3 linked regions of the Drosophila melanogaster genome follow. Each later gene encodes a partner of the first gene's protein in a complex. Each region holds a gene or a part of one and is shown on either strand. Other genes may lie near its edges.

Region 1 (3,255 bases):
GTCCAGATAGTCGATGCCCAGTTGCCACATATTGTGGGACGTCATCAGATAGCTGCCGTACTCATAGATCATTGAGTGACGCAGGGCCGGAAGATCGCTGTGGGTGCATAAAATATATAGCATATTGATTGAACATAACTTCTGACAAAAAAACTCACATGTTGTTCTGATCGAAATAGCTCTTCAGCTGACCACAATGATGGATAAGATCAATCAAATGCGTTGAGAACCAGTGTGTGTCGTTAAGTTTTTGAGCATCGTATATAAATAGTCTAAGATCGTGATCCATAAGCTGAGAAACCATGCGGTTCATGCTGCACTGCTCTCTTTCCGGCCGGAGAAGACACCATCGGTTTAGCCATTTGGCTGCCGCTATTTTCAGCTCAAAGGGTTTGCAGGTGGGCTTGGTAAAGAGCAGGTATCCTGGCAGGTATTCATAGAAATCCTGGGACTCTTTGATGCCAGCATCCCACTGCTCGCTGTCGCCGGCGACCAGACGAATCAACTGCTCCAGCTCCGGCTCCGTGGCAAATAAGCCGGACTGAATCTTGCGTTCCGTATCCACGTGCCAGAACTCCCACTGCGAGTGAAACTTCTGCAGGGCATAGCCCTCTTGATACACTGGCATGGACTTCAGGATCTGTTCGGCCGCCTTGAAGCTCGTTTGTCCAGCTTTGCGATTCTGCGAGAGAACTGCTCTCGTAACATCTATTTCGCCCAGCATAATGAGTGATTTGACAATGCTCCAATAGTCATCAGATTCGCTGGCCTCCTCTCCCATGAGCAGTAGATCCGTGGCTCTGTCCTCTGCGTGCGGCGAGTGGAAACGCGCCCAGTCGAGCAGCTGCGGCACCACCAGCTGATTGCTCTGAATGTACAGAATCTCGAAGAGATGCCACAGGCATTCTGCCGCATAGAACACAACGATGGCATCACATAAGCGTTGCAGGCGCGCCTCATCTGTCTGAACCTCCGGCGATTTTTTTGCCTGCTCCAGCTTCTCCAGGCATGAGCGCACAATGCTCCTGTATGCCCGGGATATATTCACATACTCGGCACGTGTGGCCCGCGAACCCAACTGTTGCAGCGTGGCGAACGTGGCATTCGCCTCGGCGAGTACGCTGCGGAGAACGGGTTCGTCGAACAGCGTCGACTCCTGCGCCATGTAGATGAGCACCGGAACCTGTCCAGCATTCTCTGTGGGCTCATCCCGCGAACTGTGCGTCACATGCCGGTAGGCGCTGAGTGCGATTCGTGAGCCCGGCACAAAGACGCCAGTGAGTGTATTGCCACAGCGTGTGGCTAGGTCATCGCCAAGCTCCTAGATAGATTAAACGAGGTTTAATCTATTGAGTTTTTTATTTGTGCAGCTACTTACGAAGGCGAAAACACCGCTGTCGCTCATGTTGGCTTTATGTTTTTCTTCTTTATAAATTCTAAACGATTCGTTGCTTGTTATCGATAAGCAGAGGCGGCATTTGCCTGGCTCTATCGGTCTATCGTACTTCGATAGCAGGTTGTGCATCTACTACTTTTCCCTTTAGTATATTAATCGAATTAAGAGAATGTGAGGGCATTACTTTGGTATTATTACGTGTTGTCGGTAAGGTCCTATTGATTCTGACGCTGGAAATTCGATTCGTGTTTTTTATGATGGATTTGTCGCCAAACAATCAGATCGAGGACAGAAAACCCATCCTAACCGCCGACGGCCTGGTTCAGACTTCGAACTCCCCCTTCGAGCCGACCATATCGCAGGAGACGCAAACATCCAACGGAATCGGCGGCCAGTGCCATCTGACGGTTGACCAGTTGGACATTGAGATTCTGCCGATAATCTACGACATTGTGCGCTGGTGAGTGGTCATCGCGGATGCGGATTCCGGGTGTCATTGCCCCTGCACGGACAATGCCGAAAATCGGCGGATTTTAGCAACAAGTGCGCAATTAATGCCGCACCTTATATAACCTGGCGTCTTTGTGTCTTTCAGCGTGGAAAAGGATCCTCTGGAGAACGCCGTTAAGCTGCGCGAGTCCCAGGATTGCAACCACAAGGTGAGTCCTTGGTTCGTCATAAGTTGCCACCGCTATATACTTGATTTGTAGATCTTTGAACTTCAAAAACGCTTCGAATCGGCACGCGAGCAAATCCGCCAGCTCCCCGGGATCGATTTCAATAAGGAGGAGCAGCAACAGAGACTGGAACTACTGCGAAATCAGCTGAAGCTTAAGCAGCAGCTAATTCGCAAATACAAGGACACAGAGTTCTAGGCGGCAGCAAAATAAAAAAAAGGGCAAGATGGTGCTGCGACTGCTAATGCGCTACCTGGCCAACAACGAGCAGCTCATCCAGCGCATGGCGGAGAGCTATCCCATGAGACGCGCTGCCCAGTTGGTCGTTTCCCTGATGTACCGCACAAAAGACTTGGCCCGGGAGCAGGGACTGCACGAGATGACGCCAGAGCGTTTCAAGTGAGTGAAAGAATCGCCAGAATCATCTGGCTGAATCCGCCAATCTGACATGCATTTTCCAAATTGTAGATCCTTCGTTAACATGTTTAAGAACAACGTGCGCCAAGAGCTGGAGGGAGTGAAGAAGGAGCTTAATAGCAAGAAAAAGAACTAGGGTTCAGTAATTAACTTGTTTAACTACAATTGTATATACGCGGCAAGATAAATTTTAGTAAACACAGATGAATAAACATTGAAGCCAGAACATTATCTTCGGTGAATGAACCTTATTTTTGTAGAATAGGAAATTGCTTTTATTAAGGTAATTAGGAAACAAAGAAATCCTTATTCATTGCCATTTTATCTTAACACTTAAAAACAAAAGAGAACTTCAGATTGTCATTCTGAAACTATCGTTTTACAAAAAAATCAAATAATAACCTAATGTCTGCATTTACAACGCTTTCAACGTAATTTGCGTCAGCAAATTTGTTTTCATTTTCAGTTTGCATAGACATTAAACTCATCTTAAACTATAAGATTTTAATTTAAGATTCCAATTTATAAAGTCGTGTCTATTTAAGTTTATCGAGAGATAATTTAATATCATGTACACAAGTAGCATCTGGTTCAACCTGCGTTTATTCAGTGAAAAGACAAATGAAATCCATGCTGCAGTGACGTCGGTTGTCTTAAGTCTAGTGAACAAACAAAATATAGAATTTGGTTTGGCATATAGCACAATGTACAGTGGACAAGAACGGGACACGAAATAGTTTATTGGGGCACATGCCACTTTAGATT
Region 2 (4,712 bases), on another chromosome or scaffold:
CCTGAATAGCAGAGTATTAACTGACAAAAACCCCATGAAATGCGCGCTCCAAGTTAACAATGGAGTTTGGAACAAACTAAAGGAAATGCAGGAATACCTAAAGAGCGTTAAATATCACGGGAATAAAATATATTGTGTTGATGGCTTGATCCAAACTACTGAAGCTATATTTGGACTCGTCGAAGATCTCTTTAAGGATCACACAGACCACTTTTTCTTTTTAACTAGTAGAGTTAACCAGGATCCCCTTGAAAATATATTTGCGTGCGTTCGAGCAAAAGGTGGTAACTGCAGAAATCCTTCAGTTAACGAATTTAATATAATAATTGCCAAGCTCATATCTCTACACATTTTTAAATTTTCACAAAAGTCGAATTGCGAATCAGATGATGATGTTATGTTGCCAATAGAGTTCGATTCGATAATATATCAGCCTTTCGTTGAAAAAAAAGAAATACAGCAACAAGAATACTCTGTATCATTTTCCAAAATCGTGCAAGACAATGAGAGGTACTTTGACCAAAATATAGATAACTTTTTGTGCAATGATGTACCCATTGAATTAACTTCCAGTAGATATTTTGTTGGATATATTGCTAAGGGATCCAGTTGCGATAAATGCAGATCGGTAATTTTAAAAGAAACCGAGCATTTAACAGCTCCATCAGAGCTTTTTATACATGAGAAAAACTACTCAATAGAATCGGACTTCGGGAAATTAAGGGCACCATCTGATTTATTTTTTAATATTTACAAAATACACATTAAAGCTTTCGAAAATATTTTTAAAAATAATAAAAAACAAATGTGTATAAAAAAATTTATTGTTGAGCAATGCATTAAGTGCACAAATGAAAGTAGTGCCTTCCCATTATGGTTTTATGAAAATAATGAATGTTATGCACATAGAACAGATCTTTTAAACAAACTTATAAAAGTTTTGCTTTTTAAGCATTGTAAGTGGACTGTGATAGCTGATAGACAAAAAAAGCAAGCTAAGCTCAGCATTCTATCTCATGAATAAAAAAAATGAGCGTTATTTAAATAACTGACGACTGAAAAATCGAGCAATATATAATAAAAAACAATAGTTAGAAAAATAACTTAATTGGGGAATATGGAAATGTTTTAATGTTAAACATTAAAATATTTCAAGTCGACTCGAAGGTCATATACGTAAATATAAGACCCCATTACAATTGTAATGGCCTCCCCGTAGTGTTCCCTGGGTACCGACTATTACACATATTACACATAAATAATTATCAACATAAATATAAATATGTAAACGGTAGCTAATTCGAGCGGCGATTTTAACAAACGAATTTAAAAAGCTTTAAAATTAAAAAATTTTAAAATTAAAATTAAAATTTTAAAATTATAATAAGAAGGGCGCGAATTTTTAAAAATTATTTTATTTCATCATATTGCTACGAAATTGGCAAAAAACTACCCTAATATGTACAATGTAAATTCATTTCTTTGATCAGAATTGATTTCGGCCCGAAAATCGTCTTCTAGCACAACACCCACACATATACGCGTTCCCGTCTCTTGTTTTTACTCACACAAGCAAGCAAATTCTATTTTTAGATTTCTTATGTTCTCAGCGTGAGCGAGCGGAAAGAGAGCAATTTTGGCCGTCACCAAAAAAGTGGCTGCATAGTGCCAAACCAATGTATGGCCGTTACGCATCTTGTTATTCTAGTGTCTTTGGTATGGCCGTTACGCATCTTGTTATTTATATGGCTTTGAATAGACCATGTGCAGTGTGATTAATGTGGGGGTATGTATTAAAAACGACATATAATATAAGTATATTTATGTATGTGCAAAAGGAATATATCAGGATATTTCGGTAAGAGCGACAAACCAGCCAAGTGTGAATTTATGAAGTTGATGCATCTATATTTTTGCAAATCTCAAGTTTATATGCAGAAGAGTCACTGTCGTTATATTTGAATTTTGCTCACTAGCGGAGATGATTAAATTTTTTATTATTGTACTGAAATACAAAAATGTTTTTTAAACTTAATTAGCATTTTAAGTAATAATAGTTTTTCTCCGGTATTCTAACGTTACCAGTGTGAACGGATCGGACAAGCATTCTTCCTAATTTAGTACTACTAACCGTTTATATTCCAATTACACTATATATATGGACACAGTCAGTTTTGGTTTTTGTCAAACACGGAAACACAGTATAAGCATGGGGTAGCTCAGTTCTTAGACGGGAAGGTCAATAAAATCTCTTCTGCTCGAGGTTCAGAATAAGAATAATATTATAGAACATATTAAAAAAAAAGCCGCTGTGGTAAAATGTGAATATAAAAAATTAAACATATTCTTTTTCTGTTGCTTATTAAATGTAAAATATATTCTTATATACAAAAGGCTTCCAAAGGTTTTGCAATAAGAAAAAAATATATACTCGATTTTGGTGCTGAAGGATAGTACTATAGTTTACTTTTTTTCAATTGTGAGATGATCCCTTAACCCAAGTTATGGGGTTTGGTAATTGTAAGCCATTTGTTTGTTTTTTGTTTTTGAAGAACACCGAGAGCATTTGTTTTGTACAAATCCTATATATACACACTTTTTTCAAATATTTCGCATTGAAATGAAAGAGTTTAAGAATCTTTATATATCCTTAACAAAAAAAAAACGGCATTGCTAGTCCGAATAAAATAAGTTAAGGGTAAAAAAACAAACAATATTTTAATATTCTCCATATTAAGTAAAGCGGGTAACTGGACGGAGAATCTACGAAATCGTTTTATATTTTACAAAATATATAGGACAACGGGAAAATATCCAAACCACAAAGCAACAAAACCTTCATTTTCTGGTCTGGTATATTTGACCCTTTTTTCATTTTGAGATTCACGCATTTAGCCCAAAAATGGACGTTTACTTTATATAATACTCCTATAGGTTTTCATGTCACATATAATACAATTCCTCTTCAATTCTGTTTGATAGCAGTATGATCAGGCCTTCCTGTTAAAAGAAATTCACGTGAAAGTATATCGATAATAATTGTTAAATACTTATCGATTTTCTGCCACCCTTGAAGTGCAGCTGTCATTGGTAAAAATGGCGAATTGTAATAAAGTCGGGAAGTCAACCATAAATTATTAATTTTCCTTATTTTGGACAAATACAAATTTTCATATTCAAGGAAGTGCGCTCAGGAAGCACAGACTTTACATTCGAAGTGTGCATATTTGTAAGCATAACGATTGAGCAATACACGTTTTGTATTGGTATGAGTGTTTCACAGACACGCTACTAACTCGGGTATTAAAATTTTTGAACTTCTGGGTCTTTAAACTTTACTTAATAGCAATTTTACGGCTATTTATAATAGTATTTATTTTGCAACAACGTGAAGTGAATACACTATAACTTTTTACTTTCTACCTACTACTTACTTTTCTATTACTTTCCTTATTTTTCTAACTTGGACAGTATTTGCATTTCGCCGTCCCTTGAATCTGGATCAGGGCAATATTTACGCACCGCAAGATATAAATGAACCAAATCGAAATACAGGAACTTACTACTCACCTATCCCAGGCACTTGATCAAAACTACGATGTAAGAAAACGTATTACCTTATCAACAAATCAGTTAATGTAAAGATCTTTTCAGGTCGTCAATATGGACGCAGTTCTCTGTGTCATATGTGCATTGGAGGGTACAACTATCACCAAGGAGCAGTTGGAGGCCACCAGATTGGCTAAGTACATAAATCAGCTCAGAAGAAGGACTAAGAATGAACATTTGGCTCGACGTGCAAAATCCTTGCTGAAAAAGTGGCGGGAAATGGTAGGAATTCAGCAAACAGCCACTGAAAATTTGGCACATCCCAGTCAAATTTCATCTTCACAACCAGCATTAGATTTGGTTAAGTCCCCTATCACCAGCTTTATTACAGAACCAATTGCTCCTTCGCAGCAAATAGTTTCAGATTTGCATTCAAATATCGACTCTGCGGAGCCTCCGCTTTCGGGTGAACATACCCTACTTCATCCGAACTTCTCCAACCTTGTAAATAGTATAAAAGATAGCGATCGCCACGAAAACATCGCTATAACGACATTGCATACTCACAAGGATCGGCGACATTCGCATTCCATCCGAAGTTGCCACGTGGCCTCTCCTCAGCCCATCGTCATAGATCATTCGGTAAATTCCGTGATTAACTTGACCGATGACAGCACCGTGAAGATAAACGAAGCTTCAGTTGTTATTGACATAGCTTCGGATTCCGATGAGAATGACAATAACGGTTCGTTAAATCCAAAAAAATTAAACTCAATTGTTCCTGCGCCACTTCCAATACCATCTACACCAAGCTCACGGCAACGCAAATTAAAAAAGGAAAAAAGAAGTAAGGAAAGAGAAGGACAGGTCGCAACAAATACAAGATTTGGTGCAAAAGCCAGCGACGGGTTTCAACAGGCCGCTCTGACAACAGATTCGGGTATGATTCAATTGTATTTGTCTTTGTGTCTATCCTTGCAGAAGCTCAAAGAAGCTGGGTTCGGAAAAATGGAATTTTCGAAATTTGAAAGCTGGAATCGTGTGCCCACCAATTAGTTTTTTTTTGTCCACGTCCAGTCTTTGAGATCTGAATTTTCAAAAAAGTTCGATAATCAAAAAGTGTACTTTTTCAAAAATTTTATATTTTAAATTGCAATAACATC
Region 3 (7,555 bases), 4.7 Mb from region 1:
CGAAGGAACCGAGAAGAGTATTCGAAGCACCAGCAGAGTCCATACTCGCGACCTTACGAACCACCAGTTGCCGTTCAACAGCGACCCGTGGAGCAGGCACAAAGTGAACCCGCTGGAAGGAAGAACCAATACGGCGACTCCTGGACTGATTAAGGTATTGTTATTTTGTTGGACATTAAACGCGCATAAAGTTCTGTGAAAATTCGTTGTCTATTTACATTTTTTTTTGGGGTTGGAATATTCAATTACTTTCTAGCCTGGTCGTAGTTTTCTATGTACCACTTAACCGAGGCGTTGATTGCCGTTTCCAAGTCCGTAAATGCGTAGTCTGGCAGGAAGGAGCGAAGCTTGGCATTAGACGCAGTCTTTTTGTACTGTCCATCCGACTTGCTCGTATCACAGACCAGTCTTCCCTGGAATAAATCAAGTTAATATCTTGCCTTGTCTCAAATTTCGCTTTTTAACCCACATTAAAATTAAATGCTTTTGCAACGGCTTGGGCCACCTCGAAGATCGTCACCTCCTGCACTTCGTCCGCGCTTAGGATGATGGGCTCCACACTTTCGTAGTTCCTGAGCACCCAGATCATCAGCTCCGCCAGGTCCCGGGAGTATACAAACTGCCGTAGTGGCATGCCGCTTCCGAAAACGGTGAACACCTTGTCGTTTTCGGGGACGTCAGTCTTCTCCGTAACCAGCTGGTGCATCCTATAGATCATGCCCGGAATAACGTGGCTGACCTCTGGATTATAGTTGTCGTGGGGACCGAATATGTTGCACGGAATGACCGAGGTGTACACCCGGCCATATTTATCGTGGTAGGCGTGGTTCTGCACGTCTATCAGTCGCTTTGCGTAGGAGTAACCATAATTGGAGGGGTGCGGCGGCCCATTGTGCACCATGGTCTCATCTATGGGGTAGCTGGTTTTGTCCGGAAAAATGCATGTGGACAGGCAGGACACCACCTTCACGCATCCCTGCTCGTGTGCCGTTTGCAGGACATTGTCGTTAATGAGCAGGTTGTTGCGCTAAAAGTGGATTCGCATGAAATGGGTTTTGGAATCATCTGTGAGACCAGGAGCTCACCAAGAAGTCCAGGTTGTTGTTCATGTTGTGGAACAGGCCTCCGACCATTGCAGCCAGATGGATGACATGCGTGGGCTTCTCTCGGGCGAAGAGTGCCTGCGTGGCGGCCAGATTTCTGTGGAGAGAATTTGTTTACGGATACGTTCAATTGAATTTCTTCATGACTTACGTCAAATCTGCATCTTTAGAGCCCGCAAAAAACCATTGCTCGTCCTCTGGGGACTGCTCCTTGATCACAGCCTCCAGGGCCTTGCCCACCAGCCCAGTTCCGCCTGTAACCAGAACTTTCTTCATGATTTTTGTGCGATTCCACAAATCAAGTCAATTAGTTTCTAAAGTAATTTTCGACTCAATGCGACCAGCTGCTTTAAATGCCGGCTAATCAGTCAGTGCTGCCTGCCTGGCGTTTTTAATCTAATCCTTTAGCTATTTCTTGTTATCAGAAAAAGCCACTTTTAGATTCTTTACTAAGCCCCATTTGGTCACACTGTGCCCAGGTAGTTTTTGTTTATGCGGTGTCGGATATGCGAAAAATAATTTAAATGGATATGGAAACGCAAGTTATAGACACCGTTAACGAGTTTCTGGTAATAGTGAAACCCTGCGTCTCCAAAAAATCACCCACTCATCCACGCTCTCCATTTCGCAGAAGGTCGACTCCCTTGACGAGGCGTTCGTTAGCGTCATTGTATTCAAGCCAAACACCGAGCAAGAACGAGCTACCCGCTTCGCCAATGATTTGGGTAGGTAAATGCGTCTGCTGGAACTCGAAAATTGTTAAAAACTATCTGTTTCAGTTACCGCCTTTGGGAACGTGGCGCAGGAGAACCGGGAGCAGGTGCTTCGGCTCTACCTGTTGCGTGCCGCCGGTGCCTCCGGATATCACATCAAAGTGCTGATGGCGGCACTGGTGAAGCTGGTGGACGCACACGTGATCACCGCCAGGATGCTGTGCGACAAGGTGCTGATGTGCGAGAAACTGGACTTCGAGCACAGGACCTTCTGGATCGAGAGCTTCCGGCTGATCAAGCGTGTGATCGTCCAGGTGGACTACAAGGGTGTGCGCGAGATCATGAAGGTATGCCGCGACAAGGCACAATGGTTTCCGCTGAACGTCAACGTTACCTACATGCCACAGCTACTGGCCGTTGAGGATATCCTGCGATTCATCTTTGATCGCAACAATTGCCTGCTGCCCGCCTACTTTATTGCCAACGAGATTATGCGTCCGTTTCCTTACCACTGGAAACTCAACCGGCTGATGACCGACTTTGTCGAAGAGTTCCGCACCACGGCACAAATGGTTTCGATCATTGGACATGCCAGCATGCTTCCCATCGTAGAGCATTTCGGCTATGCCGATCACATGATGAACTCCTGGCGACTGGACCACAATACCCTGAAGTTTAACTTTAAGGGTAGCCTGCCCTACGAGCCAGAGCTGCTCGAAGAGCAGAAGCCCCTACTCCGCTACGTTTTGGAGCAGCCGTACTCAAGGGAAATGGTCTCTCAAATGCTGAACCTGCAAAAGCATCAGAAGCAGCGCTACAATGCCCTGGAAGAGCAGTTGGTTAATCTCATAGTGCAGGCCATGGAGATGACGGAGGCGAATGATGCCACTGCGGGAAGTGGCTTTAACTCCTCAGACGAGCAGATCACGCCCTACGAGTGGATGTGGCTGCATCTCTCTTCGCAACTAATTTACTTTGTGCTCTTTCAGTTCGTAAGCTTTATGCACATAGTGTTGGCGCTCCACGAAAAGGTAGGTCCATGGTGGATGAAATTAATATTTCTTGTAATTAACTACTTTTCACCTATAGCTTTCCAAGTTGGAGCTTCGCAAGGGTCGCGATCAACTTATGTGGATTCTGTTGCAGTTTATATCCGGAAGCATACAGAAAAATCCTGTAAGATCCTGTTCTCCACCTGATTGATCTTATTTTTAATCGCTTTTAATTTTAGATCACCAATTTCCTGCCTGTGTTCAGATTGTTTGACCTACTATATCCCGAGCTAGAGCCTCTTAAGCTGCCAGATATCAATAAATCCTCGATGGTTCGCCATATGGCACCCATTTGCGTTTGGATTCACCTGATGAAGAAGGCACGAGTGGAAAACATGAACATCACCAGACCATTGCCAATTGCACTGAAAAACCACTACGAGTAATACCTCTAACTTCCTTTGGTGTTTAGATACTAACTGCTTAATTCCCAGCTTTCTGCAGCACCTAGTCACGGCTAACACCATGATGAACATGACGCTAGGAAACGACTTCCGCATAATTCTCATCTGCAATGCATACTCAACGAATCAGGAGTACTTCGGGCGTCCCATGGGTCTACTGCTGGATGCCCTAAATGGCACTTCAAAATCTCCAAACGGTGGCCAAATCCCAGCCGTAACTTTTTCGGTCACGGTTCTGGACAGCTTGACGGTGCACAGTAAGATGTCGTTAATCCACAGCTTCGTAACTCAGATGTTAAAACAGGCCCAAAGCAAGGGTCAAGTTCCAGCGGCTGCACTACTGGAAACTTATGCCAGACTTCTGGTTTATACAGAAATCGAGTCGCTCGGTATAAAGGGATTCCTGAGTAAGTACAGCCTGTTGAAGTGATTAAACAATATGTTTATGGTTTTTTTTCCTCCTAAAGGCCAACTGATGCCAACAGTGTTTAAGAACCATGCGTGGGCCATGCTGCACACCTTAATGGAGATGTTTTCGTACCGGCTGCACCATGTTCCTACTCACTACCGGGTCCAATTGCTGTCTCTCCTTCATTCTCTGTCCTCCGTGCCGCAGACAAACAAGATGCAGCTCAATCTCTGGTTAGTTATACGTTTATCGAGTATAGACTTCTTTCTAAGTTCTTCCCTTTGTATAGTTTTGAATCTACTGCACTGCGTCTGATCACCAGCATTGGATCCGCCGAGTTTCAGCCGCAGTTTTCGCGTTACTTTAACGACAAATCTCCCGGAGCAGTGGCGTCTAATGAGAGCGAAGAGCTAAACAGAGTACTTATTCTTACGCTAGCTCGATCCATGCACGTACATGGTGGCGGCGATGAAATGCAGGGATGGTGCAAGGACTTCCTTTCCAACATCATTCAGCACACGCCGCACTCGTGGCCCATGCATTCCCTAGCCTGCTTTCCGCCCGCCTTAAACGAGTACTTTACGCAGAACAACCAACCTCCGGAGAACAAGCAGCAGTTGAAGAAGGCCGTGGAAGAGGAATATCGAACCTGGACGTCGATGACCAACGAGAATGACATAATTGCGCACTTCTTGCGTCCAACTACGAATCCTTTATTCCTTTGCCTTCTGTTCAAAATAATTTGGGAGACGGAGAACATAAGCCCAGTGGCTTACAAGTGCGTAACATTATGATTTAAACACAATCATTTTTTCTGACCATACCTTTTTTTTTAGAATTTTGGAGGGTATAAGCGCGAGAGCCTTGTCCACTCATCTGCGTAAATTTTGTGACTACTTGGTGGCTGAGGTAGCTAGCTCATCGGATGGCCGCGACTTTATTCACAAGTGCGTCGACACCATTAACAACATGATTTGGAAGTTCAACGTTGTGACCATCGATAGGGTTGTGCTTTGCCTGGCTCTGCGAACGCACGAGGGTAACGAGGCTCAAGTCTGCTTTCTCATAATTCAGCTGCTCTTGCTGAAAGCCAGCGAGCTGAGAAATCGTGTTCAGGAGTTCTGCAAGGACAATAATCCTGATCACTGGAAGCAGAGCAACTGGTAAGTTGGACACTTGATTTTGTTAAGAGCACAAAGGCATAGTTGTTATTATTTCTCAGGCAGGACAAACACTTGTCATTCCATCAAAAGTATCCAGAGAAGTTCGCGTTGGACGAGTCAGCTTCACAGATTCCGCTGCCCGTGTACTTCAGCAATGTCTGTCTGCGATTCCTTCCCGTTCTGGATGTGGTAGTGCACAGATTTATCGAACTTACCATTACAAATGTCCACCAGATATTGGGCTTCATTTTGGATCATCTGAGCATACTCTACAAGTTTCACGGTATGTTAAAAGTGGCTTTCGAGAATTTCATAACTTTAAATTACCCTTTAAATTGCAGATCGACCTATAACATATCTGTACAACACCCTCCATTATTATGAGCGAATCTTACGAGACCGCCCTGCGCTAAAGAAGAAACTTGTAAGATTTGTTATGAATATTATATTCCCTTCTTCTAATACACTGTGTTGTTCCAGGTTGGCGCTATCACCAGCGCCTTTAGCGAGATTCGGCCGCCCAACTGGAGTGTTAGTGAGCCGTACAAGGTGTATTTGCAAAGCCAAGACTCGCTGTGGACCCCCGAATTGAGCTACTATATGAGTTTGATCAGGAGACTTGCAGACAGTAAGCTAGGATTTGGGAAAATACTATGATGTGTTCATATATTCATGCGTAACCCCTTTTATTTTGCAGCAATTAGTGGGAAGAATGTATTTTACTCCACCGATTGGCGTTTTAACGAGTTCCCGAATGCGCCAACCCATGCGCTCTATGTGACATGCGTGGAGCTGCTGGGTCTGCCGGTGGCACCGCCACTGGTGGCCAGCAATCTCATCGATGTTATAGTAAGCGGATATGCGGTTATTCCGCAAAAGGACATTCACAGCTACATTAATGCTGTGGGCATTGTTCTGGCTGCCTTGCCTGAGCCCTACTGGAGCGGCATATACGATCGCCTACAGGATATGCTCAACACACCCAATATGCTGAACTGGACCTACAGATTCAATGCTTTCGAGTTGTTTAACTTCAAGACAGTGCGTGAGGCGATGCTAGAAAAGACCTACGCCGTGGTGTTGGCAGTAGCTCACTCAGTGTTCCATCACATGGGCGCCTTTAAGCTGGCGGCAATGACCAGGTACCTCAAGGAGAAGCTAAAGCCGTGCGTGCGAACCGAACAACAATTGCTGTATTTGTGCCACGTTTTTGGCCCCTTCCTGCAACGAATAGAGTTGGAAAAACCGAACGCTGTGGCTGGCATAGCCGTGTTGCTTTACGAAATTCTTGAGATCGTGGACAAGCATCATGGTCCGAAGCCTCTGCAGTACATGGACCAGATCTGCGATTTCCTGTAAGCAAATCCACAAAATCGCATGAAAGGGTACTAAACAAATGTGTTTGTATCATTTCAGCTATCACATTAAGTATATACATGTGGGTAATATCATTAAGAACGAATCGGAAGCCATCATTAAGCGGCTACGGCCCCTGCTGCAAATGCGCCTGAGGTTCATAACCCACCTTAACTTGGAGGATATTCACACTGAAAAGATGTAAGGGCCATTTAATTCAAACTCTACTTCGGTTTAAACATAACTTTTCCAATTTCAGCAACGACAATACCAGCAATAATGCAATAACCAGCCAAACGCAGTCTCCAATGCAAACACAGCATCAGCAGCAGCCGCAGCAACCACATCAGCAACAACAGCAGCAACAACAACAGCAACAGCAGCAGCAGCAGCAGCAACAGCAGCAACAACAGATGCAGCAGCAACAAATCAACGCAGTACAAACAACCAGCGTTCCCTTGGGCAGCGGTGGCAACCTACAGCAGCAGCAGCAAATCAACCAGCAGCAACAAATGTATATGCAGCACATGCAGCAGCATCAGCACATGCAAAACATGCGCCACAATTAGACTTTGTGGGACTCCCAAGTCAGTTCAAGCTGACATAACGACATAAGCCTAATTTATAGTAGTATTATCTTATATTTTATCGCTTATTGCATTATTCATTTTCCATTGAATGTGTAAACAGTTCTCAGATATGTTTAAGTTAGATACTAAGGGAACTTTTTGTAAGTCACAGCTGTCGGCCCAAGTCCTCCCTCCAGCTTTACAATCAAAAGCTTGACTTAATAAGCCCAGCTTAAAGCTCTTCGTAGATAACCTGTAGTTGGTGATCTTGTCCACCTCGAGCGCCGTTCTCAGTTGTGATCGCAGAGCACTGCGATGTATGCGCTTCCGGGAATCCAGATTCTGTTGCTGATTGCTTCAGTCAGCGTGGTGACCGAGTACTGCGACAATGGAACGGGCGAGTGCAAGGAGCTGACGCCCTCCGACTGTCCAGTGATATTCTACAACCAGCACCTGATCGGAGCCGAAGTCAAGTACTGCGACGAGTTCAACGACATTGTCTGCTGTCCCATACCGCTGGATCACCAGAATCTGAAGCCAGCCGAACAGACGAGGCCTTTTGAGAAGCGTGAGGAGTGACTGCAACAATTCCCTTCGATTGATGGAATTTGAATATTCGTTTTTTTTTTTTAGAGTGCAAGCAATACAACGAGGTCAGATCCGCCTGCCAGTCCACGCCCTTCATCGTGGGCGGCACAAAGGCATCCGGTAAAGAGTTTCCCTTCATGGCCCTAATCGGCACTCATCGGCCCAACAAGTCCAAGTCGGACATCAATTGGGATTGTG

What was found.
Region 2: MED9 (region 1) and MED26 share a complex: the UniProt entries of both Drosophila melanogaster proteins name them as parts of the mediator complex.
Region 3: MED9 (region 1) and MED23 share a complex: the UniProt entries of both Drosophila melanogaster proteins name them as parts of the mediator complex.

The regions. Positions count from the first base shown.
Region 1 is NT_033778.4:18,165,667-18,168,921, forward strand, and holds MED9 (mediator complex subunit 9), read left to right. Parts: upstream 1-1,588; 5' UTR 1,589-1,650; coding exon 1,651-1,856; intron 1,857-1,991; coding exon 1,992-2,055; intron 2,056-2,106; coding exon 2,107-2,271; 3' UTR 2,272-2,299; coding exon of another isoform or gene 2,300-2,472; intron 2,473-2,541; coding exon of another isoform or gene 2,542-2,626; 3' UTR 2,627-2,714; downstream 2,715-3,255. Other genes in the region: Nup75 (nucleoporin 75kD), read right to left, coding at 1-97, 159-1,321, 1,379-1,405; CG42518 (uncharacterized protein), read left to right, coding at 2,300-2,472, 2,542-2,626. UniProt on the Drosophila melanogaster protein: Component of the Mediator complex, a coactivator involved in the regulated transcription of nearly all RNA polymerase II-dependent genes.
Region 2 is NC_004353.4:785,969-790,680, reverse strand, and holds the start of MED26 (mediator complex subunit 26), read left to right. Parts: upstream 1-1,702; 5' UTR 1,703-1,786; intron 1,787-3,066; exon of another isoform or gene 3,067-3,229; intron 3,230-3,471; 5' UTR 3,472-3,534; coding exon 3,535-3,600; intron 3,601-3,654; coding exon 3,655-4,489; intron 4,490-4,712. UniProt on the Drosophila melanogaster protein: Component of the Mediator complex, a coactivator involved in the regulated transcription of nearly all RNA polymerase II-dependent genes.
Region 3 is NT_033778.4:22,887,381-22,894,935, forward strand, and holds MED23 (mediator complex subunit 23), read left to right. Parts: upstream 1-1,547; 5' UTR 1,548-1,633; coding exon 1,634-1,672; intron 1,673-1,734; coding exon 1,735-1,828; intron 1,829-1,882; coding exon 1,883-2,847; intron 2,848-2,905; coding exon 2,906-2,992; intron 2,993-3,047; coding exon 3,048-3,250; intron 3,251-3,302; coding exon 3,303-3,679; intron 3,680-3,739; coding exon 3,740-3,914; intron 3,915-3,970; coding exon 3,971-4,459; intron 4,460-4,517; coding exon 4,518-4,844; intron 4,845-4,903; coding exon 4,904-5,127; intron 5,128-5,185; coding exon 5,186-5,268; intron 5,269-5,324; coding exon 5,325-5,472; intron 5,473-5,541; coding exon 5,542-6,199; intron 6,200-6,260; coding exon 6,261-6,401; intron 6,402-6,459; coding exon 6,460-6,769; 3' UTR 6,770-7,045; downstream 7,046-7,555. Other genes in the region: asrij, read left to right, coding at 1-153; Gmer (GDP-4-keto-6-deoxy-D-mannose 3,5-epimerase/4-reductase), read right to left, coding at 246-413, 470-1,027, 1,086-1,200, 1,255-1,379; CG3700 (uncharacterized protein), read left to right, coding at 7,085-7,337, 7,403-7,555. UniProt on the Drosophila melanogaster protein: Component of the Mediator complex, a coactivator involved in the regulated transcription of nearly all RNA polymerase II-dependent genes.